Linked DNA regions of Oryctolagus cuniculus. The protein of the gene in region 2 interacts with the protein of the main gene of each other region in a pairwise test. Links are inferred from orthologs where the notes say so. Each region holds a gene or a part of one and is shown on either strand. Other genes may lie near its edges. The genes, in order: ARNT, AKT1, CEP76 and PPL.

Region 1 (5,223 bases), on a different chromosome or scaffold from region 2:
GAAAGATAAGGGGAAAAGATCTCCCCCTCATCCCCCGCAATATTCCAACTTATGCTAAACTCAAGATTACCAACATTTACTATGAATGTCATATTCCTTCAAATTTTTGGAGTCTTACAGAATTCTTTACTTGTATTCAGAGAATGAAAGAAAATTAACCTGAACAAGTCCTGAAGATTTTTTCTAACTTAAAAGGGATGTAAATGTAGAAAATTCACACTTGCCTGCAATCTACCAATGGCCACTAGACAAAACTTGCTTCCCTGGCCAGCCTCTGGGTCATCATCCGGGAGGGAAACACCTTCAGGAAGGTGAGGTTAAAAAGTTTAATTGAACTCTCAGACTCAAATGTTTTGCATGAGAGAATGATAAATGAGAATGTTAAAAATAAAGGTACAATTACATAAAATTTACTATATGTGCTACTCATGATATAAAATATATACATAAATTCATATATTTCAGCCATATTAACTATAATAAATTAAAGACTATAAGGCTCACTCGAGGTATTCCAAACACTATGCTAGCTAAATCAAACACATGTGAAGCAGCCCCTCTGTGACCAGAGAACAGATGTCTTGCCCAACCTGTGATCTGAAGTAAGCAAACAACCAAAAATGAATTTATGCCAAACACTAAGAGTTACTTGTGTCCCTTGGAAAAGAGAAAAATAATATTTTACATGGGAAAGTGAAGAAGAATGTAATTCTTCCTTATTCTTTGCATAGCTATTTTATTTTTATTCACAAAAATAGTACTTCTGTTGATAGCTACACAAAAGAAGTAAAGATCTTATGTACCTTAAACTATGTTTTATGCAATACAAAGATCACAAAGTTCAGATGTCATTACCTCATTCCTTAAAATATTTTCCTTAATTATATTAACTTCCACTTATTGGTATTTTTTTGTATTAGTATTTATTGATGGCTACCATATATGAGGTACTGGGCTGGATGCTTTCCTTACACTAAATCTAATCCTCATAATAACCCTCTATGGAATGTATTCTCTCCAAAGTACAGATGAGAAGTTTATAAAAGTCAAGCAACTTATCCTAGGTTATATCACTAATAAATAGCAATAATAATAGCAATGCCAGGAATCAAACCCAGGTTTTTCCAAATCCAAAGTTGAATGTCTTTTCTAAACATAAAACCTTGCTGCCTGTTTTTTTTTTTTTTTCCTTAGTTTCTGTCTTACCCAAATCCTTAATTCACAGTGACACCCAACTAGCAGGGAAGTAAAAAGTTTCTAAGGCTTGCAAACTCTTAAAAGTCAATTAAGCCGGCGCCGCTGCTCACTAGGCTAATCCTCCGCCTTGCGGCACCAGCACACCGGGTTCTAGTCCCGGTCGGGGTGCCGGTTCTGTCCCGGTTGCCCCTCTTCCAGGCCAGCTCTCTGCTGTGGCCCGGGAAGGCAGTGGAGGATGGCCCAAGTGCTTGGGCCCTGCACCCCATGGGAGACCAGGGTAAGTACCTGGCTCCTGCCATCGGATCAGCGCGGTGAGCCGGCCACAGCGCGCCAGCCGTGGCGGCCATTGGAGGGTGAACCAACGGCAAAGGAAGACCTTTCTCTCTGTCTCTCTCTCTCACTGTCCACTCTGCTTGTCCAAAAAAAAAAAAAAAAAAAAAAAAAAGTCAATTAAAAAGCTGATTCCCCCACCAAGGCTGGCGCCATGGCATAGTGGGTAAAGCCGCCGACTGCAGTACCGGCATCCCACAAGGGCACCAGTTCGAGTTCCAGTTGCTCCACTTCCGATCTAGCTCTCTGCTATTGCCTGGGAAAGTAGTAGAAGATGGCCCAAGTCCTTGAGCCCCTGCACCTGTGTGGGAGACCTGGAAGAGGCTCCTGGCTCCTGCCTTCAGATCAGCACAGCTCCAGCTGATGCAGCCATCTGGGGAGTGAACCAGTGGATGGAAGACATCTCTCTCTCTCTCCCTTCCTCCCTCCCTCCCTCCCTCTCCCTCTCCCTGCCTCTGCCTCTCTGTAACTTTGCCTTTCAAATATATAAATAAATCTTTTTAAAAAAAAAACTGATCCCAGCCAGCACCGCGGCTCAATAGGCTAATCCTCTACCTAGCGGCGCCGGCACACTGGGTTCTAGTCCAGGTCGGGGCACCAGATTCTTTCCCGGTTGCCCCTCTTCCAGGCCAGCTCTCTGCTGTGGCCCGGGAAGGCAGTGGAGGATGGCCCAAGTGCTTGGGCCCTGCACCCCATGGGAGACCAGGAGAAGCACCTGGCTCCTGCCTTCAGATCAGCGCGGTGCGCCGGCCGCAGCGCGCCAGCTGTGGCGGCCATTGGAGGGTGAACCAACGGCAAAAGGAAGACCTTTCTCTCTGTCTCTCTCTCACTATCCACTCTGCCTGTCAAAAAAAAACAAAAAACAAAAAACAAAAACAAAAAACAAAAAAACAAACAAAAAAAAACAAACTGATCCCAGCAAAAAACACCTTTCTTATAATCTCTGTGACCTCAAGTTCTAATAAAGCTAATCAGCTTAAAACTTCATTTAAGGCCCTTGCAGAGAGCATCTCCTTCTAATTACTACAATCAAACCATTTTCACCATTTCCCTCAAAGTTTTGTAACTAATTTAGAAAGACTTCTCAAGTGAATAATCCCAATGATTTTTAGTAACCACTGCTTAAAAGCATAGGTATTCAGTATATATAATTATGATTTTGTACATTTAAAAACTATGCTGTGACACAGCCATTAGTGAGACATTTTCAAATCTGAGTATATCATCTCCCCAAGTGGAATACAAGCTCAATAGTGTATGTGAAGGGGTCTGCTGTTTCTTTCAGGTTCCATCCAAGTACATTTCATACACCAAACACATAATAAATATAACTTTCTTAGACTTGGCGAGGAACCAAACGCACCGAAAAGAATCACCATCCAACTTTCCTACCTGCTGGGGGCCAGGCCTTGATATAGCCTGTGCAGTGCACCACCACGAAGTGAGGTTCTCCATCTTTCACAGAGCCAAGTCCATTCCTAGAAGAGTGGTATCAGTCAGAAGAAAAATCATACCTAGAAATTTCTTAAAGGACAATGCTGGCTTGGGAACTTCAACTTCAGAGTCTTGGTTTTTGAAAGTAGGACAATCAGTGCTGGGACCTCTCCCACCCGAAAGTAACCACCATAATTTCAACCATTACCAAAGGAAAACAACTGAAAAGAACTACAGCACAAGGAAAAGCAGGCAAAACAGTAAGTAAACTTCCTTTAACAGGAAAACAAGAAAAACTTTAGAAGTTCAGAAAAATACTGCCAGAAAAAAGTACCTAGGAGGCGAGGGAAGAGGGTGAGGACTACGAAAGGAAGTATTACAGTAAGTCAGGTGAGAAAGTTATGCTCTGTTGGGTCTTTGGTTACCCCTTTGGTTTTCACTGCTTAGGACTTCACCTGCATCTGTTCCTCACAAAGCTCAGTCTATTCATGGAGACTGGGTCCACGGAGCTATTGCCACACCTGTTTCAATGAGCAGAGAGATGCAAAGCAGTCAGCTTGCACAATGAAAGAACCTTTTTTTTTTTTTTTTTTTTTTTTTTTTTTTTGACAGGCAGAGTTAGACAGTGAGAGAGAAGAGAGAAAGGTCTTCCTTCCGTTGGTTCACCCCAATGGCCGCTAAGGCTGGCACGCTGTGCCGATCCAAAGCCAGGAGCCAGGTGCTTCCTCCTGGTCTCCTGAAAGAACCTTCTTTAGTGAAGTACGGTAACAGGCTTTAAATGCATCTTGACACAGAAAATTGGTAACAATGCTCCTAACACCAAGGAGGGATAATGGAAGTCACATTTGGTACTTCAAAAATATAACTGTTCTAAAATTTGAAGTAAAAAATATTCTATATGCTCTCCAAATGCAAAGATTCTCTATATCAGGAGTTGGCAAACTTTGTAAAGGACTAGAGTGTAAATATTTTCAGCTTTGTAGATCATACAGTCTAGTCTATTGTAACTAGGCAATTCTGGCAGTATAGCATAAAATCAGCAAAGACAATATATAGGCAAATGGGCATGGCTAGTTCCAATAAAACTTTCTTACAAATGAAGGGCAGTGGCTTGTTAATTCAGGCTATTTATCTTCTCTTGCCTATGTCTTTGCATTGGCCATGGCCATATGTTGGAATGGTCCCTTCAACTCAACTTTCTCTCTTTCATTTCTTTTTTTTTTCTTTTAAAGTTTTATTTGTTTATTTGAAAGTCAGAACCACACAGAGAGAGAAAAAAAGGCAGAGAGGTCAGTCTTCCATCCACTGGTTCACTCCCCAACTGGCTGCAAAGGCTGGAGCTGCGCCTATCCGAAGCCAGGAGCCAGGAGCTTCTTCCAGGTCTCCCACATGGGTACAGGGCCCCACGGGCTTGGGCCATCTTCCAACCCTTTCCCAGGCCACAAGCAGGGAGCTGGTTTGGAAGTGGAGCAGCTGGGACTCAAACCAGCGCCCATATGGGATGCCAGGACTGCAGGCAGCGGCTTTACTTGCTACGCCACAGCACCCACCCCCTCTTTCATTTCTTTAAAATAACAACAGTAGATAAAACTTCTACTGTTTAATATATGCCATGCTCTGTTCTAAATATCTTCACATATATTAATTCATCTAATCCTCATAACTTTGTGAGTTTAGTATCAGTATTACTTCCAACATTAGATGATAAAATCAAAGCACAAAGTAGGCTTGTAATCTGACCAAGATTTCAGAAGATATATGAAGCTAAGAATTAAAAACCACAGAATACTATGGACTAAAACTAACTCCAGCAGACTGAGTCCAGAGGCTATTGCAAACCATTAAGCCTTGGGGTCGGTGCTGTGCCGTAGTGGGTTAAGCCGCCGCCTGCATTGCTGACATTCTATATGAGTTTTGAGTCCTGGCTGCTCTACTTCTGATCCAGCTCTCTGCTATGGCTTGGGAAAGCAATAGAAGATGGCCCAACTCTGGGCCCCTGTACCTGTGAGGGAGACCTGGAAGAAGCTCCTGGCTCCTGGCTTCAGATCAGCACAGCTCCTGCTGTTGTGGCCAACTGGGGAGTGAACTAGCAGATGGAAGACCTCTCTCTCTCTGCCTCTCCTCTCATTATGTAACTCTTTCAAATAAATAAATAAATCTTTAGGGGCAGGTGCCATGGCGCAGTAGGTTAATACTCCTCCTGTAGCGCCAGCATCCCATATGAGCACCGGTTCGAGTCCCGGCTGCTCCTCTTCCAGTCCA
Region 2 (5,685 bases):
CTCTGGGGGAGGACCCCAGCCCCAGACAGCCGCACAGAAGCCTGTGGCGTCCGAAACCCAGGCTCGGGCCACGTCCAGCCAGACCCACGGCCCGGCCCAGCGCTGGTTATTTAGAAACTGTCGACCTAGGGCGAGTTGGCCTCGTGGTTAAGACGCTCACATCCCACACGGGAGCCCTGACTTCGACCCCAGGAAGGCAGCAGTGGCGGCTCAGGGGACCGGGTCCCCGCACTCACGCGGGAGTCCTGGACTGAAACCCCAGTCCACCACCATGGGCACTGGGGGAGCGAGCCCTGTCCTCCTCTTCCTAACAAGTGTTTTAAAATAACCAGGGCTGGCGCTGTGGTGTGGCGGGAAAAGCTGCTGCCTGCAGTGCCGGCATCCCATAGGAGCACCAGTTCTAGTCCCGGCTGCTCCACTTCCGATCCAACTCTCTGCTGTGGCCAGGGAGTGCAGTGGAGGATGGCCCAAGTGCTTGGGCCCTGCACCCCATGGGAGACCAGGAGAAGCACCTGGCTCCTGGCTTCAGATCCACACAGCGCCAGCTGTTGCAGCCATTTGAGGAGTGAACCAGCGGATAGAAGCTCTCTCTCTCTTTCTAACTCTGCCTTTCAAATAAATAAATAAATGTTTTTTCTAAAATAAAATAAAGCAATAAAACAAAACAGCAGCAGCCAACCTTCAAAACCAGGGAGCCCCCGTGTCTCTGGGACTCAGTCCCAGACGGGAAGCCACGCTGGGTCCACGCAGGGCCAAGCGGGCCCCAGCGCCTCAGCCCAAAGCACACCTAGGACCCGTGCCCCTCCTGCACCCACCCCAGCCCCCAGAGGCCACGGCAGCCATGGTGGGACGGTTGCCTTGGGCTCAGCCAACAAGCAAGGAGCTCCAGGCCCTGGGCAGGACCCAGGGTGCGGAAGGGTAGACACTGGGCAGAGGGCCAGGCCCATGCCACCCCCGGGCCACACAGAGGGGTGGGGAGTCACTGGGGCACCCCCTCCCCGCCCCCAGCTAGGCCCAAGCACGTACAGACTGGGAGGGTCAGCCCAACACGGCCCCGCTGGCCTCAGCCCAGGCAAGGCAAAAGGGCTGGAGCCAAGACAGTGCTGCCGGTGCCGAGTGCCACGACGGGCCCCAAGGGGCCGGGGCGGGGGCGCCTCTGAGGGCAGGCCAGGGCGCGATGTCCACCTGTGGAAGCAGGAGGAGGCTGCGAGCAGGGCCGGGAGGGTGCCGGCTGGCTGGACCCCACGAGCCACTCTCTCCTCTCCACCAGCCCCACCCTGACCCCTGGAAACAGGGAAACGGAGGCCCAGGCAGTTGACTGATGGACAGGGTGAGGTCCAAGCCCTCTCTTGGCTGCCCCGCGGGCCGTCCCCACCCAGCCCCTGGCAGAGGCACACCATGGAGGCCACTGCGGCCGAGCCCAGCTGGCCAGTGCCACCCCGGGGCCGAGGACTGACACCCAAGTCCCAGGGACCAGACGGCAGCCCAGGCTTGGAGAGCGGCTGGCTGGGGAGGTGGGACGCCCGGGGTGGCACTGCGGGGTGGGGGCCTTGGCAGGAAGACGGGCAAGGGGTTCCGGTGGGCCTGCAGCCCACCCCTGCTGCCCGGCGCCCACTCCCCCGCAAACAGCGGGGCGCAGCCTCGGCCCTGGCCTCTCGTCTGGGTTCTTTCCTTGCCCCCCGGGGCCTGGGCCTGGGCCTGCTCTGTGGGGACTGCCGTCCGCCTCGTGGGCCCTCGGTGCCCTCTCTGGGTCTGGGGCTCCCCTGCGGGAGAGTTCCCCCGCGGGAGGGCTCTGAGCGCCCAGCCCCCCTCCCAGCAGGCCAAGGAGCCCCTGGGCACTGCCCCGGGCAGGCAGCGTGTGGGGCCCTGCACCGCCCTCGCCTTCCAGGAAAGCCGGGAGGGCTGGCAGCTGTGGGGGAGCTGGGCCGGTGCTGCCCGGCCGGCCGCCCGCACCCCGCCCCGCCCCGCCCCGCGGAGCTCGCACACGGACCTCGCTTGTGCAGCCAGCCCTCCTTCACGATGCTCACGGCGTTCATGGTGCCCGGCTCCGGCCGCACGCGCCGTCAGCGCAGACGGCTCTCCTGGCCCCAGCTGGCCCGGCCCGAGGCTCTGGAAGAAGCAAGCGAGTGTGAGGTGTGAGCCCCCAGGCCCCGGCCCACGGGTCCCCTCCGCGTGCCCTGGGCCCCAGCCCGTGTACAAAGCTGGCCCTCCCATCCCCGGGGTGGGGGGTCTCACTCAGCGCTCTGGCCCCTCCCCAGCAGTGCAGCTCGGGCGACAGGGAAACCTCCCCAGGAAGAGCCCCCCCCCGGCTCCACGGCATTCTCCGGCCCATGTACCAGGCATCTCGGCTGTGCCAGGCCGCACACCGGGCGCTGGGCACACAGAACGGCTCACACCTGCTGGGGAGCAGCACCCGGCATAAGGCAGTTACAGAGCCACAGTCCCCACGCTCACAAGGTGGCTGCCGTGACGCCGCAACCCTCCATGCCCAGCTCCCGGGCTCTGGGCACCCCAGGCACAAGCATCTGGCACAGGCCTGCCGGGAGCGCAGCCCTGGGGGCCTCAGGCCAGGCAGAACCGCCCCCCAGGACGGCCGGGGATGCGGCCCACTGGGGGCTCTCCGGCCAGGCCACCTCTCTGGCCCTCCAGGGCCACGCTGTGCTGTGCCGAGGCCCCACAGCCCGTGTCCAGGCCACACCAGGAAGAGGCCCAGGGCCGCAGGGAAGTGAGCGTGCCTGGGGGAAGACACCTCGAGGCCAGGGCGCTGGGACCTCGTGGGCGTGGCCGAGGCAGAGGGCTGGACGCAAAGACCTCTGGACAGCCCCCCAGCCTCCGCCCAAGGCCTGCTGCTGGCCATCACCGAGAGCACGCAGCGTGGCGTAGCCCACACAGAAGCCGGCACGGGGACCCCACTTCCCGCGGCACGCGCCACTGAGGCCGCCATGGCTCCTCAAGTCCCAGCCGCTGCAGACCGAGCCCCTCGGCCCTGCGGTGTTCTCCCGGGAGGGGGCACCAGGCCCTGCACTTGGGTGGGGGGCTCAGCGCAGGCAAGAGCAGCTGTCTGGGGCCAGGCCAGCCGGGGACAAGCTCGCCAGCTGTCCCAGGACCCCCAGCTGACCGGGCGCCCTGGCCACACCCGGGCCCGGCCTCTGGACGCTGGCAGCACCTCCACAGCCCACTCCAAACAGGAAGCAGCCCGGCCGCGAGGCACGCAGGCCCCTGATGGGGCAGCCTGGGCACGGAGCCGCCGCCCACAGCTTTCTGTCCCAGGCCTCCCGACCCCACCCCTTAAGAACTTGAAGGCCGGTGGTCCGCGACCCTCTCCCTCCCCTCGGAGCACAGCCTCGGCCCGCTGCCTCGCTGGCCGACTGCCCACGGCCCCGGGCCCTGCGGCGCCCCTCCTCCGGGCCCAGGCCTCCCCAAGGTCACGAGGAGGCCGGGGCCGCCGGCCCGCACCCGGGCGCCGGCTGGGGCGCCTCCCGCGCGACCGCCCGCTCCGCGCCCTCCACGCCCAGGCCTCGCTCGGCCACTTCCTGCCCCCGCCCTCCACGCCGGAGGCCGCGGCCCGCGCCGGCCCGCCGGGAACAAAGCGCTCGGCCGCGGGGGCGCGGCCGGCGGCGGCGGGACTCACCGGGCCGCCTCGTCCGCGCGAGCGGGGCCTAGCCGGGCCGCGGCCTCCGGCGCCCGCCGCTCTGCATCCCCGCGGGCCGGCGCTGGGCGGGGCCGGCGGGAGGCCGCGGCGGGCGCTGCTCGGGCCGGACTCGCGCCGCCGCCTGGTGCCGGTCCGGTGCCCGTGCCCGCTGCGCACTCGGTGCCCGCGGCGCTCGGTGCTCGGCGCCTGCTCCCGCGCTCGGGCCGCGCTGGCTGCGCTGGGCCGGCCGCCCGCCGCGCTCGGTCCCGCCGCCGCCGGCCCGCCCTCTCCCCGCCCCGCGCCCGCCCCGCGCCCGCGCCGCCCGCCCACATCCGCCTCCGCCGCCCCGGGCGCCCCCGCCGCGCGGCCGACGGCGAGGGCGGGGCGCCAGGAGCGCGGCGGGCCGGGGCGGCCTGGGGCAGGGCCGGGCCCGCTAACGGAGCCTCCGCTCGGCAGCCGGGCCGGGGGCCGCATCCTCCGGCCTCAGTTTCCCTCTTTGTAAAGGCACCGGGCGCTTCCCGGCCGCGCTCTGGCGGACTCCACTGGAACAGGCCCAGGACCGATGCGGGTCTCGGGGACACCTGCGTCCGCTGGTGGGGGCCAGGGGAGGAGGGCGCAGCCCCGACAGTCCTAAAGGCCCCACTCGTGGCCGCTGGGGGCGGTGCGGGCAGTGTGGAAGGGAAAGGAAGGGGGCGCGGGGCTGACCGGCCCTGAGCCGGCCGCGGACACCCAGGGGACACCGAGGGGAAGGCTGTGCTGGCGGCGCCCGAGCGGGCCTCCCCACGGGGCTGCATTGCGGGGGCGCAGGCCACGGTCACTGAGCCAGAGGCCTCCCGGAGCCCTGCGCGCGGGCAGAGCCAGCCCCTACCCCGGCAGACTCCCAGCCCTGCCTCTCTCCACCGCCCCGCCCCTCCCCAGAGGCCCAGAGCTGATTGGTGAGTTGGGGGGGGGTGTCATTTTTTGTTTTTCATTCAGGGTCAGAGGTCGGCTCTGGGCTGGGAGGTGTGCACCGAGGCAGGTGCAGCCAGGAAGAGCTGCAGGGCTGGCGGGCCCAGCACGGCCTCTGGGGCCGCTGGCTCCTCAGCAGGTGCCTCCAGGCCCCCCCCCAGCTCCTCTGCAGGTGTCTCCAGGCCCCCCCCCGGCTCCTCAGTAGGTGTCTCCACCCCCCCCCGACTCCTCAGCAGGTGTCTCCAGGCCACCCCCCCCCCGACTCCTCAGCAGGTGTCTCCAGGCCCCCCCCCGACTCCTCAGCAGGTGTCTCCAGGCCCCCCCCCGACTCCTCAGCAGGTGTCTCCAGGCCCCCCCCCAGCTCCTCTGCAGGTGTCTTCAGCCCCCCCCCCCGGCTCCTCAGCAGGTGTCTCCAGGCCCCCCCGGCTCCTCAGCAGGTGTCTCCACCCCCCCCCCGGCTCCTCAGCAGGTGTCTCCAGGCCACCCCCCCCGACTCCTCAGCAGGTGTCTCCAGGCCCCCCCCCGACTCCTCAGCAGGTGTCTCCAGGCCCCCCCCCGACTCCTCAGCAGGTGTCTCCAGGCCCCCCCCCAGCTCCTCTGCAGGTGTCTTCAGCCCCCCCCCCCGGCTCCTCAGCAGGTGTCTCCAGGCCCCCCCCCGGCTCCTCAGTAGGTGTCTCCAGCCCCCCCCCCCGGCTCCTCAGTAGGTGTCTCCAGCCCCCCCCCGGCTCCTCAGCAGGTGTCTCCACCCCCCCCCGACTCCTCAGCAGGTGTCTCCAGGCCCCCCCCCCCGGCTCCTCAGCAGGTGTCTTCAGCCCCCCCCCCCCGGCTCCTCAGCAGGTGTCTCCAGCCCCCCCCCGGCTCCTCAGTAGGTGTCTTCAGCCCCCCCCCGGCTCCTCAGCAGGTGTCTTCAGCCCCCCCCCCGCTCCTCAGTAGGTGTCTCCAGCCCCCCCCCGGCTCCTCAGCAGGTATCTCCAGGCCCCCCCCCGCTCCTCAGTAGGTGTCTTCAGCCCCCCCCCCGCTCCTCAGCAGGTGTCTCCAGCCCCCCCAGCACAGCCGTCCTGCTGGACTGTGTGGCCCCAGGTGAGGCGGAGCTGGTCTGTGCTGCT
Region 3 (5,839 bases), on a different chromosome or scaffold from region 2:
GCTACTCTGGCTGTGAGGTGCTACACTAATATTATTCTTTGAGACCTTCCCCAAGACTACAACTGGACTGAAAACCAACTGTAATTCCAGTGAAATTCTGTTTTATAGGTTTTCCTCTTGGTCTAAGAGCCATTTTAAAGATAGAAAATGAATTTTGGAAGAAATTATGAATATAAAGATAACAGTGATACTAATCATCATACCTACACCCATTAGTTCCACCGTTAGATTGGTCACTCCATTTTCTGAGCCCAAAACCGATCGCCATTCCAGAAAATAGGATGCTACTAAAGTGGTCTCACCAAATATGTCTGTTTTGATTAGCACCATATGGATGGGATCACTTATTGACAACATTGTTGTTGAATCAGCCATTCTAGTTCCATCACCTGACAATATAAACAGAAGGTTACATCATATTACATATTGTTAGGCCAACATAAAACTACTTTTATTGAAAAATATACTAAATAATAAACATATATGAAACTAAATAGAATTAATTTGGTAATATCTCAGAAAGCATATCACAAGCCTGGGAATACAAGTACACTCCTAGTTCCATCACTAGCTTCTGAGAAAACTGGCGGAATTGTCAAGTAATCTAGTTACTTAAACCATATCAGTGCTTTTTGATAAATAGATTAATAAGCCCCAGGAACCCAACTTCTTGAGCCACTGTCTGCTTTCTCTCAGGGGGGTGTATTAGCAGGAAGCTAGGCTCGAGAGTGGAGCCAGGACACAAACCCAGGCATTCTGATATGGTATGTGGGCTTCCCAACTGGCATTTTAACTACCAGGCTAAATTCCTGCCCCTGAAAGTCGAAGTTTAGATGTGAATATGTAACTTACTTTTGTAATGTCAAAATTTATGAGGGGCGGGCATTATAGTACAGTGGTCAAGCTGCCTGCTGAGGCACCGGCAGCCTATATCAGAGTACCTGGATTTGAGTCCCTGCTCTGCTTCTAACCCTGCTTCCTGCTAATGTACACCGTGGGAGATAGCTGGTGATGGCTCAGATACATAGGTCCCTGCCACCCCTGTGGGAAACCTGATGGAGTTCTTATTACTTGGCTTCGTGGAATTCTGGGCTCCTGGCCTGGCCCAGCCCTGGCTATTGCAGGCATTTGGGGCAGGAAACCAGAGGATGGAAGATTCTCTCCCCCTCTCCCTTTCTTTCTCTTTCTCTCTCTCTGCCTTTCAAATAAAAAAGAATTATAATATATGATTCTTGTAATTGTTTTACACTGTGTTTCTAACAAGGTATTTTTTAAAAAAGGTAATTTATGGGGTGAATTGCTAAACTGTGAGCTTAAATCTTTCAGTTTTGTGTTGATAATACAGTGATAATTTCTAAAGATAAATGAATAAGGACAGTTTAAGAATTAATCTTAACATATTTGATGGCTTTTTTTTGTAGTAACATATATTTTAAATAAGTACTTTTAAAGAGAGAGAGAAAGAGAAAGAAAGGGAGAAGGGGAGAGAATCTTCCATCCTCTGGTTTCCTGCCCCAAATGCCTGCAATAGCCAGGGCTGGTCCAGGCCAAGCTGCAGTGCCAGCGTCCCCTAAGGGCACCAGTTTGAGTCCCGGCTGCTCCACTTCCGATCCAGCTCTCTGCTATGGCCTGGGAAAGCAGTAGAAGATGGCCCAAGTCTTTGGGCCCCTGTGCCCGCGTGGGAGACCTGGAGGAAGCTCCTGGCTCCTGGCTTCAGATTGGAACAACTCCAGCCTTTGTGGCCAACTGGGCAGTGAACCAGCAAATGGAAGACCTCTCTCTCTCTCTTTCTCTCTCTGCCTCTCCTCTCTCTGTGTAACTCTGACTTTCAAGTAAATAAATAAATTTAAAAAAAGAAAGAAAGGAAAAGTTGGGTTCCTGCCACTCATGTTAGATGGGTTCCCAGCTCTTGGCTGTAGCCACATCAACGCCCCCGCTCCATTTCAGGTATTTGGGAAGTAAACCCGCTAGCAGATGGGAGCTCTTTACTATTATGGCTTTCTTTCTAACTCTCCAGTAAAATTTAAAACAAAATAAAACAAACAAAAACCTTTGAAATATAACAACATCACAAATCTAGTCATCCTTCATATACAAGAAGGATCATGTCTCATTCTCTCATGTCCTCAGCACCTGCTAGCATAGTACCATGCACATGACAGGCATCTCACAGGATTATTAGTAAAGAACCAAAATTAAGAGTAAAGTAATAATCGTTTAGGGATAATTAATTAGCAAACACAGAATAAAGCAGAAGGTGCACAGAAGTCGTTAAAATAAGAGTGGCGGAAAAATAAAAAGACTAGGCCAAATGACTCAATCTGTAAATCTCCCAACAGCAGAAGTTGTTACAGCAACTCTGCAACAAAACCTAATAAAAGCTCACTCCATTAAGTGACTATTACGTTCCTTACCTAAGTTTTCTCTGTGTACTTCAAGTAAAAAGCCATCATGAAAATCAGGTTCACAGGCACATGGAACAGGTTTAGAACGAAAACGTTGGTTTCGATAATGTAAGCATAAAGTAAAAGTTGAACAAACTTGTCCTGGTAAAGGCTCAGGTTCTTGAAGATGTTCCAAGAAAGCTTTTCCACCCAAAACCTGAAGGTAAAGATACCTCCGTGTTGGATCAATATTAGCTGTAAAGTGTAGCAATATACATGAGGAAACTGCCAAATAATTTAAGGAATGTGATCAAGACATTAGGATACAACAACTTGAAAGAAATAACATCAAAGACTAAAAAAAGAAGAAAAAGAGTAACAAATTTACTATATACCAGAATCATTTGCACCCTGGGGAGAAAAGATACATAATCTGACATTCTTTTCGGAGTTTACATTCTGTCCACTTTCTCCCAGCTAGAGTGGCCCAAAGTCTACTATAGTTTGCTTTTTATTAGCTGCTTATTAAATCTCCCTTCACCTCCATAAACCAGCTCAGGCAACTACAAATTAAGCAAATGTATTTGTAAGGTAATTATCATTAAAATAACAAGGCTGTACAATCTTAAATAAAGTATATTATTAAAATATGAGAAACCAGTGTGCTGGCTTTTGCTTCTACTATACTGCACATTAAATTTTCTGATATACTTCATGTGAAACAAAATTAAGTTTTAGGCCAACCACAAAAATTTAAATATTTGGGGAAAAAACCAGAAATGTTTTCTATCAAATACCAAACACTACAGCACATCAATATTCATTATACAACAGAATTATTATTAAAAAACAGATACATACTTTTTTTTAATGTTGACTGTCTATCAAAACTAACAGGTTGTTTTGGAGAGGAAGGGAGTTCTTGATCAACATTGTCCTGGAAAGGCCAAAAAAAAAAATTGAAAAAAAAAAAATTAAGAAAATGCCAATCATGACACTAAACAGCAAACAGAAAGGTGACAGGATAAGGGCCCTCTTCCCACCCCCCAAAAAAGCCCTTTTCATAGTGTAATCAAAATACTGAAAATGAAAGATAATGCAACTGGTCACTATTCATGTCTAATACTAAGGTGTAAAAATTATCTTCAAGGAATGCCATCCACAGAATGTAAAAAGCAATTCTGAAAACCTTAAACAAGCTTGAACTTTCCCTATACCTGATGTAACACTTGGCTTACAATTCCAACAGTTACTGATTTTAATAAAGAAGTGACATTCACACAGCAAAAGCTGTTATTAGGCCAATTTTTATAACAAATGGGTTCATAAACCTCAAAAACCAAAAAAGGATGCTGTATTAAAATACTTATTCCCTGATGTATTATGAAGTCTGTCCAATTTTCACATATTATCCAGGTATTGAGGTCACAGTTTTTCATTATTGCCTCATTTTCAAAAGAGGGCCTACTTCCTAATGGTGCCTTGAGAGGCCAGCATCTCACTACTGACCTATTTGTAGGTAAAGACTGGAGAGTCTTTGTGCAGTCAATTATTTTCTTGAGGACATTTATAATTTGTTCATCGGAGTCCCAAAGAGTGTTTATTTTAAAAATAAGCTTAACCTAAAGCAACTGTAGGGCAATCTTAGTGAAAAAAGAACAGTTTTATGGTGAACTAATGTGACTGAAATATGTATATTCATAATTAAAAGACCTAGAGAATTACAAGAGAGAATCCTTGTCACTGCAGAGTGAGGAAGACAGTCTACATAACCCAAATCTCGCTGACTCACACTATTTGTGTGCTACCCAAGGGTAGAGCTAACTTACAAGGCAAATAAGGACACTGGTAGACAGGAGGGCCTTCCAGTGGTTTCGCTCAAAGGAGAAACTCCCACCAAGGACCCTGTCAACAGTGTAACTACGCCCAGGCATGTTCTTTACAGACCCCAGAGTACTCACCGTAACAAAATTCAGTTCTTTCATCACATCATCAATGATTCCTCGCCGTCGAAGGGCTTTGATCAAATCTTCCGTTGATAACTGTTGCTGGTCGGGCGCTAACTCCTCGCGTATGGTCTCGGCGAGGATTTCCCGTATCCTGCCGTGGACATCCATCTGCGCACAAAACCCGCACGACAACGCCATTACTCCTCGAGTCAGGGCTCTAGAGCTAGCCGCGAACGGGCCATCATTACCACAGCTGAGTGAGAATCACCGCCAGCTTCCACGAGATGCAACTCTGGGAGACAAAGGCTAGAAATGACGTCTACCGCCTGCCCACTTTTGTGACCGCTTCCCCCCCCCGGAATCCCGCTCAAACCAAATCAGTCTTTCCATAGGGAATGCTGGATGGAATCGCAGGAACAGGCGGATCGCAGCAGCTGTGCAGGTCGGAGCTAACGTCTTCAGGCGCTGGGGTCCTCCGTCCTCCCGGACAAGACCCCGGACGCCCTGACCGGCGGCCAGTGCGGCGCGCACGCACCGCGACTTCTGTTACTTCACGCGTCGCCCTCGGCGAGGGCCGCAAAAGCCCCGGCCTGAGGCGACTGCGCCCCTACCAAGTCCTTCCGCCACGTCCCCTCCGTTACTGGGCTGTGCTGGCTGGAGCTGCTGGCTCTCGGATCGAGGAAGCCCACGTCTCGCCCTAAAGCCACCTCGGCTCTGAAAGTACATCCGACGTGACTTTGGAAGACCGCTCGGCTGCCCCCTACCACCCAAACGGTCCCATCGCCTCCCAGTCTCATGAGCACTCCCTCTCGCCTTCTTCCCTTTCACCGCCGCTACCAGGCTGCTCTGGCTTCAAACCCGAAGCTTTAGCTGCCCCGCGCTCCGCGCTGGCGCCCGGGATGGCCCAAGCCAGAGCCCGCCGGGCGGGGGACGCCTCAAGACAAGCGAAGAGAGCCCAGCTCGGCCCGCGCCGCCCTCACCTTGCTCAGTTGCTGGTGGATGAGCTGCTTCAGCTCCGAGGCTTTCTCCGGAGGCAGCGACATGCTGGCGGCCAGCGCCTCCACCGCTGTTCCCCGCCGGACGCCCTAGCTGTGTGGCGCACCCCGGCCCGGCCAGGGAGCGTTAGTCGCAGCGGGAGCACAAAAGCCGCACCGACGGCCGCTCGCTTCGCGCAGCTCCCCGGGGGGGGGGCGCGACGCCGCGTCAGGGCCGAAGCTGGGCGGGAACCCAGGCGCTGGCGGCGCCAACTGCTTTCAAATAATGACGGACCAACAGGCTTCGGGGCTGTCCCCCGCGATGCCTGATGCCCTCCGCCTGCCGCGCCACCTTCTCGCAGGCCCGCACCCCGCAACCTCTGCTCGCCCCGTCGCCGGGACTGGCCAGGGTCTCCCAACAGAGCTCCCCGTTTCCCTTCCCAGTCCTCGCGGCGGCCTCGTTCCTCCCTCCGGCCCGGCAGGGAACTGGACGGACCCTCAGGACCCCGCGCCGAGGGACTCCAAGGTCCCG
Region 4 (5,916 bases), on a different chromosome or scaffold from region 2:
CTCCTTGGCCAGGATGGGTCAGACCTCTCCCTGCGCTGGGGACAGCCTCCTTGGTCTCTGCTGACCCTGACAGCACAGCCCGGTCACAGAGCACAAGGACAGCTGGCCTGGATACCCAGCCTGTCCTGCTGTGTGTCCCCAGCCCCACCCATGAGTCTCCAGGGTCAGGGAACCACCAGTGCATGTGAGCTTAACCTTAGCCTTTCGCCCTGATGTGCCCGCCAGCGACTCAGAGGCAGGCAGCGGTCAGTGACTCCTCCACGTTCAGCCTGCCCACCATGCATCCAGCTCAGCCCCATGCACACATCCACACAAGTCCCTAATTACCATCACCCCAGCTGCCTGTTGTCCTCAACCCGTTCCACCCGTTCCTTTAACCCTCAGCCAGCACTCCGGGCAGGCACTAGGCTACAGGTGGGAGAGAACAGTCTCAGAAGGACCAACTCCGTCCCAGGTTACACAGCCGGGAGGGTGGGAGCTGGTTCCCTGCAGGACGCTTCCCTGGGACCTGTCATTATCGCAGGTGTGAACACCTGCTCCCACACCTGTCATTAGGAACCAGGGTGACAGGAGCAACGGGTTCACACCCTGTCCTGGCCCTCCCGGCTGGCAGGGAGGGGCGGCTTCCTTAACGGGGCTTGGGGCTCACGGCGGGAGGTGCCCCGGCTTGGGATGTGATGACAACCCTGACCTGGGCACTTCCTGTGTGCCAGGGCAAGGCTGCTCTCGGAGACTCCAAGCGACAGATTCTTACTGTCCTCTTCGCTGCTTTGCAGAAATGGAAACTGAGGCTCGGGAAGGGTCCGGGGAGGTGGCAAAGCCAGGGTGAGGAGCCGGGAGTCCCGCTTCCTGGGCCCGAGCTCCCACTCGCCCCGCCAAGCCGAATCTCAATGGCAGAGAGCCCCAGAAAACTAAGGGTGAAAGAACACAGCTTAGAGCCACAGGTGCCCCAGGCTGCTTGTTACAGGGCTGGTGAAGCGTGGAGTAGGCTGAAGGGAGGGAGACTGGGGTGCAGGGCTGCCCCCACCTCCTGGCAGAGGGATGCACAGGGCTGGGAGAGGATGTGGCAGACCCGGCCGCACACAGGGCTGCCATCCCACTCAGGGCCAGGTAACACAAGGCCACGGCAGCCCCACCAAGGGTCTTCCACTCCACCCTGGGAGAGAACCAGGAAGGCTTCCTGCACAGACACCCCCAAGCTGAGGTCTGCAAGCCAAGGACAGAGGGCGCTGCCTCTGGCCAGGAGTGCAGGGAGGGAGCGGTCAGTGCTCGCCCCACGCACTCAGCGGGATGGGGTGCCTCCCTCCCAACTTGCCTCAACTCACGCTAACCCGTGTGAGGTCCAGCCCAGGCCTCTGGGGATGCGGGCTGCGGGGGATGAGGGGCAGCCTGGCCCAGCTCCTGGAGTGGGGGTGCCTGCAGGTGTGGAGGTCTTGTGGTGGCGAGGACAGAACAGTTGTGTGGGGCTGGCACAGAGCACAGGATTGTGCAATGCCCGAGAGAACAGCGCATCGACTGGCTGGGCCCCCAGAGAGGTATGAGAGCCAGCTGGACGGCCAGGGAGGAACAGCACGCAGGGCCCTGCCCAGCCTCTGAGGCTGTGACAGACAGGAGGGAACCGGGGGCGGGGGGGGGGGGGATGCCTCTGAGCTTCAAACATCTGGAATGGGAGCTATGGGATGGGTGGGTGGGATCCCGACTCCTGGGGTGTCTGAGGATGCTGGAACGGAAGGAAACTGAGGGCCAGGCTTGCCTGCACCTGCCAAACAGGTCAGCCTAGGCTGATGGCAGGGGCGGCGCGGGGGGGGGGGGGGGGGGGACGCGAGCCCAGAGTTCCCGCCTGCACTGGGCCATCAGAGGCCTGCCGGGAATAAGGAGCCGCCCCCGGCACTGCAGGGACTCCACAGGGCAGCAGGAGGAGTGGGGACCCCAAGCCAGGAGGCTGTGCCGGTCACCTACTCCCCGCCTGCCTCCATCTCTGTACCCAACGCCCCTACCCCGTTTTCCCTCGAGGGGGAGAAGGCAGGGCCAACTCCCTCCCCCTCCCTCATCTCAGAATTGCCCCGACTTCCCCAAACCGGTTATTAAGCGAATGCATTCGGCTTATCAAAACGGACGTGGGCTGCCTGTGCGCACAAACACATCGAGACATGTCATTCCTTTCCCAGGCCTCCCTGGGAACCCGCCGCTCAGAGCCGCCGCCAGTTTCGGGGCTGGGGGAGGGGGCGGGGAAGGAGCCACACCCCTAAGAAGGGCCGCGGCGGCCCGACGCCACCCAGCCACCGCGCAGCGCCCTGCCTGGCGCTCCCCGGGCAAGCAAGAGGGTGCCGGGCCTGTGCCCTCCGCTCCAGGGCCTCGGGGCGGGGCGGGACTCCCGAGCGCAGGTTGGCAGGTGCGGGGAAGTGCCTAGCAGGTGGCCCGCCCCCGCGCCACCCCCACCTGCAGCCTGCCCGACGCCAGGAGCACCTGTGCGAGCTCCGAGACCCGCAGGTGTGCGCCCTCCAAGCCCAGCTCCGCTCTCCGGCCCAGCACACCCCCTCTAGACCCGGCCTTCGGGCCCCCTGCGGCCGCAGTCTCCAGCCCGACTCAAAAGCAGCCCGGGGGGCGCAGGTTTCCGGTACCCCCGTCTCAATTCCCCGCCCCCTAGGCCCTCAAAGCCAGGCCCCCTGCGCTCCGAGGACCCCGGGGGGCCACAAGCGGTGTCCCCTCGGACGCGCTCGCCCATGCCACCCCATCCTCTTCCCAGCCGAGCGACCCCTCGCGTCCCACACTCTTGGCTCGGTTCCCAGACCCGTGAGCCCCGGGACCCCTCGGGGACCCGGCGCTGGCCCCCGCCCCGCGGCGCCTCCTCACCTGCGGGTCTGCACCTTGGGGCTGTATTTGCCTTTGTTTCTCTTCCTGAAGAGTGAGTTCATGGTGGCGCTGGGGAGCGGCGGGGGCCGGGCGGGCCGGCGCGCACCGAGGGCGGGCTGTGGGTGCAGGTGAGCGGCGGCGGCGGCGGCGCGGGCGGGCGGGCGGCCCCGAGTGCTGCGCGCCCTCGGCACCCCAGCACTACTCGCGGGGGCGGGGCGCCCGGCGGCCACTCGCTCCGCGGCCGCTCCCCGGGTAGGTGGCGCTTCACCTTTCCGGGGAGGGGCTCCCGCAGGGCCGGGGGCGGGGACGCCCGGGCCGCCTCCGCACGCGCGGGGCCCCGCCCTCCGCGCGGGGACTTGCGCGCCCCCCGACTGGGGGCCCTGAGTGCTCTGGGCGCGGGCGCTGCTCCGGCTCCGGCCGACCCGCATCTGGAGTCCCCAGTCCCCCGCTCCGCCCCTCACAGGGCCGCTGTCGGTGTCTGTGCGACCCGGATGGCCAGTGGGTCCCAGCAAAGGGGGCACTGGACGCCCCTGCCCACGTGCGGATCTTGCCTCCGCACTGGGTCGGCCGAGACCCCTGGGCGACGTGCGTGTTCCAGCGCCCCTAGCCTCAGTTACCCAAATGGGTGCCGGTTCAAGTCCTGACTGCTCCACTTCCGATCTAGCTCTCTGCTATGGTCTGGGAAAGCAGTGGAATATGGTCCAAGTGCTTGGGCCCCTGCACCCGTGTGGGAGATCGGGAAGAAGCTCCTGGCTCCTGGCTTTGGATTGGCGCAGCTCTGGCTGTTGTGGCCAATTGGGGAGTGAACCAGTGGATGAAGACACCTCTCTCTCTCTCTCTCTCTCTCTCTCTCTCCTTCTCTCTCTATGTAACTCTGACTTTCAAATAAATAAATAAATCTTAAAAAAAAAAAAAGCAAAACAGAACACTCAGACTGGAGACTTTGCTGAGGGGCCTGGTGGCCTCGTTAGGATCAAGGACAATGCGAGACGTCTGGGAACGTCCCTGAGTGCAGCCAGGGGACCTCTCTGAGAACAGTGGCTCTAGTTGCTGTGCGTCGGCGCCTGGGGTGTGTGGGGGTGTGTAAAATGCAGATTTCAGGCCTTCATACCCTGGGAGAAGGGCTCAGGAGTCTGATCACTTGACAAGATCCCCCCACGGTCCTGGACCTCACTGGGAAAAGCCAAGAGGGAGGGACCCTGCCAGCTACTGCCCAGGCACAGACCTCTCGCCAAACCTAACCCCCCACCTCGGCCCTGCCTGGCCTCCCTCTCAGGTGCTGCCCTAGGTGGGGCAGGTAAGGCCTTGAGCAACCCCTCGTTCTGAAGAGACTCCCCTCCCTAGGTCTGAGGGCACCCTGGGGACTCGCCCACCAGCCAGCTGACACTGGGGCAGGTGTCAGAGAAGAGCCAGGGCTGCAGCACACAGGCGGCCTGCAGCTACCAGAACCAAAGCCCAGCTCAGTCTCAGGCCATGGGCCACAGCGGGGGGCTTGTTTCCTGCTCTGCTCCTCCCCTGCCCGTGCCCAGAGACCCTTTCCTTACTCTTCCCCCTCCCACCTTTCTGGGCAGGTGGGCACTGGTGTGGGTGCTAAGTCTGCCTTGACTGTTCACTGCAACCTTGTAGATTTTCTGGAAACCAGCTGCTCACCCCTGGGGTAGGTTAAACAAGCAGCCACAGCTGTGCGGACGGTGTGCCTAGACCCACACGTGGAGTGGATGCCCACAGCAAGGGGCAAAGGAGAGGGTCTACGATGCCCGCTCTGTGTTGGGGGGAGGGAGAGAGAGAAACTAGGCGGGCATGCCACTTGCTTGTAAATGCGCGGCAGACGTGGGCAAGGATTCGTGAGACACGGTCACCTTCGAGTCCCCTCTGGAGAGGCCAGGGAAAGATCAGCATTTTCACAGGGGAAGGAGAGCAGGCAGCGTAGACAGACCTGAGTTTGAATCCCTGTTCAGACCCTCTCAGCTGTGTGAACACAGGTGAGCCACCATGCCTCTCCCGGCCTCCGTTTCCCTCTGTGAAATGGGCACAAACACAGCATCGACGTCCGAGGGTGAGGCGCTGTGTGCTGGTCCCTTAGTCCGGCCCCTGGCCATTAGCAGGGCCTCTGTGAACGGGAGGGGGAGGCGTGTGCAGCTGCAGGCCACCGGCTTGTAGGACTGGGGTGGGGGCAACGGGGAGGAGTCTCCAAACCATCACAGGACCTCCAGATGGAGTCAAAACTCTGGACATCTCTGAACTGCCAAGTCCCCTCTCCTCACAACTCCTAGAAAGTGAAGGCCGCTTTTTGGAAGGGGAACTGGACCAAGGAACGCAGGCTGGCAGCTCAGCTGGCTTGGCACTCAGCCGCTGGGTGCCGGCCAGGGCGCTGGTCACGGGCGCCCCTCCCTGGGTGCCAAGGGCTCGTTCCGGGCAGCATGGCAGTCTCTGTGTCTGCACTGGTTGATTCTCCCCAGCTACTCCCGCCTCGTCTGGAGGAGGCTGCTGTGTCCTCCCGCTTTCCAGGGATGGGCACGAGGCCCAGTGCCCAGCTGGGCTGGTACCTGGTCAGCCTGCTCCAGCGCCTGAGCTCTTGTACCCTTGCCCACCTCCACCCTCTGTGGCCCCGACTCGCAGGCTCAGGGCAACTGGCCCAGCTCGGGCTGATTCAGCGGGGCCAGGCCCAGGAGAATGAGTGGATTTAGGGAGGGCTCTGATGGTCACCACCCTCCCCCTGCACTCTGAAAGCTGGGCTCAGAGCCCAAGCTGGCACGGCTGCATGTGTGCGTGTGTGAGAGCACGTGTGTACACACGTGGACACCATGCACGGGGCGGGTGGGGGGGCGCCCTGTCCTCACCCCGTGCATCCTCTGGGGCAGCTGGATCTGTTTGGATTCCTGGAGCCCTCCCGTGCCAAATGACTCATCCCCTCCACTGCTGCGGGTGTGGAGGCCCAGGGCTGGGGTGTTTGCTTTTCTTGGGGTCACTAGATGGTTAACCCCACAGAAAGAGCACCTGCCAGGTCAGCAGGTACCCTGGCTACTAGGCAACCCTGGCCCCTGGAACCCCGAGCTGCTGGCC

What was found.
Region 1: the proteins of AKT1 (region 2) and ARNT interact in a protein complementation assay, tested with the Homo sapiens proteins (2 studies listed by BioGRID and IntAct, with this or other methods). The link is inferred for Oryctolagus cuniculus from reciprocal best matches to the Homo sapiens genes AKT1 and ARNT.
Region 3: the proteins of AKT1 (region 2) and CEP76 interact in binary tests that used the Homo sapiens proteins (3 or more experiments, as listed by UniProt). The link is inferred for Oryctolagus cuniculus from reciprocal best matches to the Homo sapiens genes AKT1 and CEP76.
Region 4: the proteins of AKT1 (region 2) and PPL interact in a two-hybrid assay, tested with the Homo sapiens proteins (2 studies listed by BioGRID and IntAct). The link is inferred for Oryctolagus cuniculus from reciprocal best matches to the Homo sapiens genes AKT1 and PPL.

What each region holds. Positions count from the first base shown.
Region 1 is NC_091438.1:47,241,589-47,246,811, reverse strand, and holds part of ARNT (aryl hydrocarbon receptor nuclear translocator), read right to left. Parts: intron 3,483-5,223; coding exon 3,417-3,482; intron 3,006-3,416; coding exon 2,920-3,005; intron 302-2,919; coding exon 225-301; intron 1-224. UniProt on the Homo sapiens protein: Required for activity of the AHR. Upon ligand binding, AHR translocates into the nucleus, where it heterodimerizes with ARNT and induces transcription by binding to xenobiotic response elements (XRE).
Region 2 is NC_091451.1:46,982,627-46,988,311, forward strand, and holds the start of AKT1 (RAC-alpha serine/threonine-protein kinase), read right to left. Parts: upstream 3,772-5,685; 5' UTR 3,632-3,771; intron 2,110-3,631; 5' UTR 2,037-2,109; coding exon 1,991-2,036; intron 1-1,990. UniProt on the Homo sapiens protein: AKT1 is one of 3 closely related serine/threonine-protein kinases (AKT1, AKT2 and AKT3) called the AKT kinase, and which regulate many processes including metabolism, proliferation, cell survival, growth and angiogenesis.
Region 3 is NC_091441.1:69,557,118-69,562,956, forward strand, and holds the start of CEP76 (centrosomal protein of 76 kDa), read right to left. Parts: upstream 3,912-5,839; 5' UTR 3,824-3,911; coding exon 3,602-3,823; intron 3,322-3,601; coding exon 3,246-3,321; intron 2,670-3,245; coding exon 2,415-2,669; intron 390-2,414; coding exon 204-389; intron 1-203. UniProt on the Homo sapiens protein: Centrosomal protein involved in regulation of centriole duplication. Required to limit centriole duplication to once per cell cycle by preventing centriole reduplication.
Region 4 is NC_091450.1:30,733,996-30,739,911, reverse strand, and holds the start of PPL (periplakin), read right to left. Parts: upstream 3,297-5,916; 5' UTR 3,282-3,296; coding exon 2,854-3,281; intron 1-2,853. UniProt on the Homo sapiens protein: Component of the cornified envelope of keratinocytes. May link the cornified envelope to desmosomes and intermediate filaments. May act as a localization signal in PKB/AKT-mediated signaling.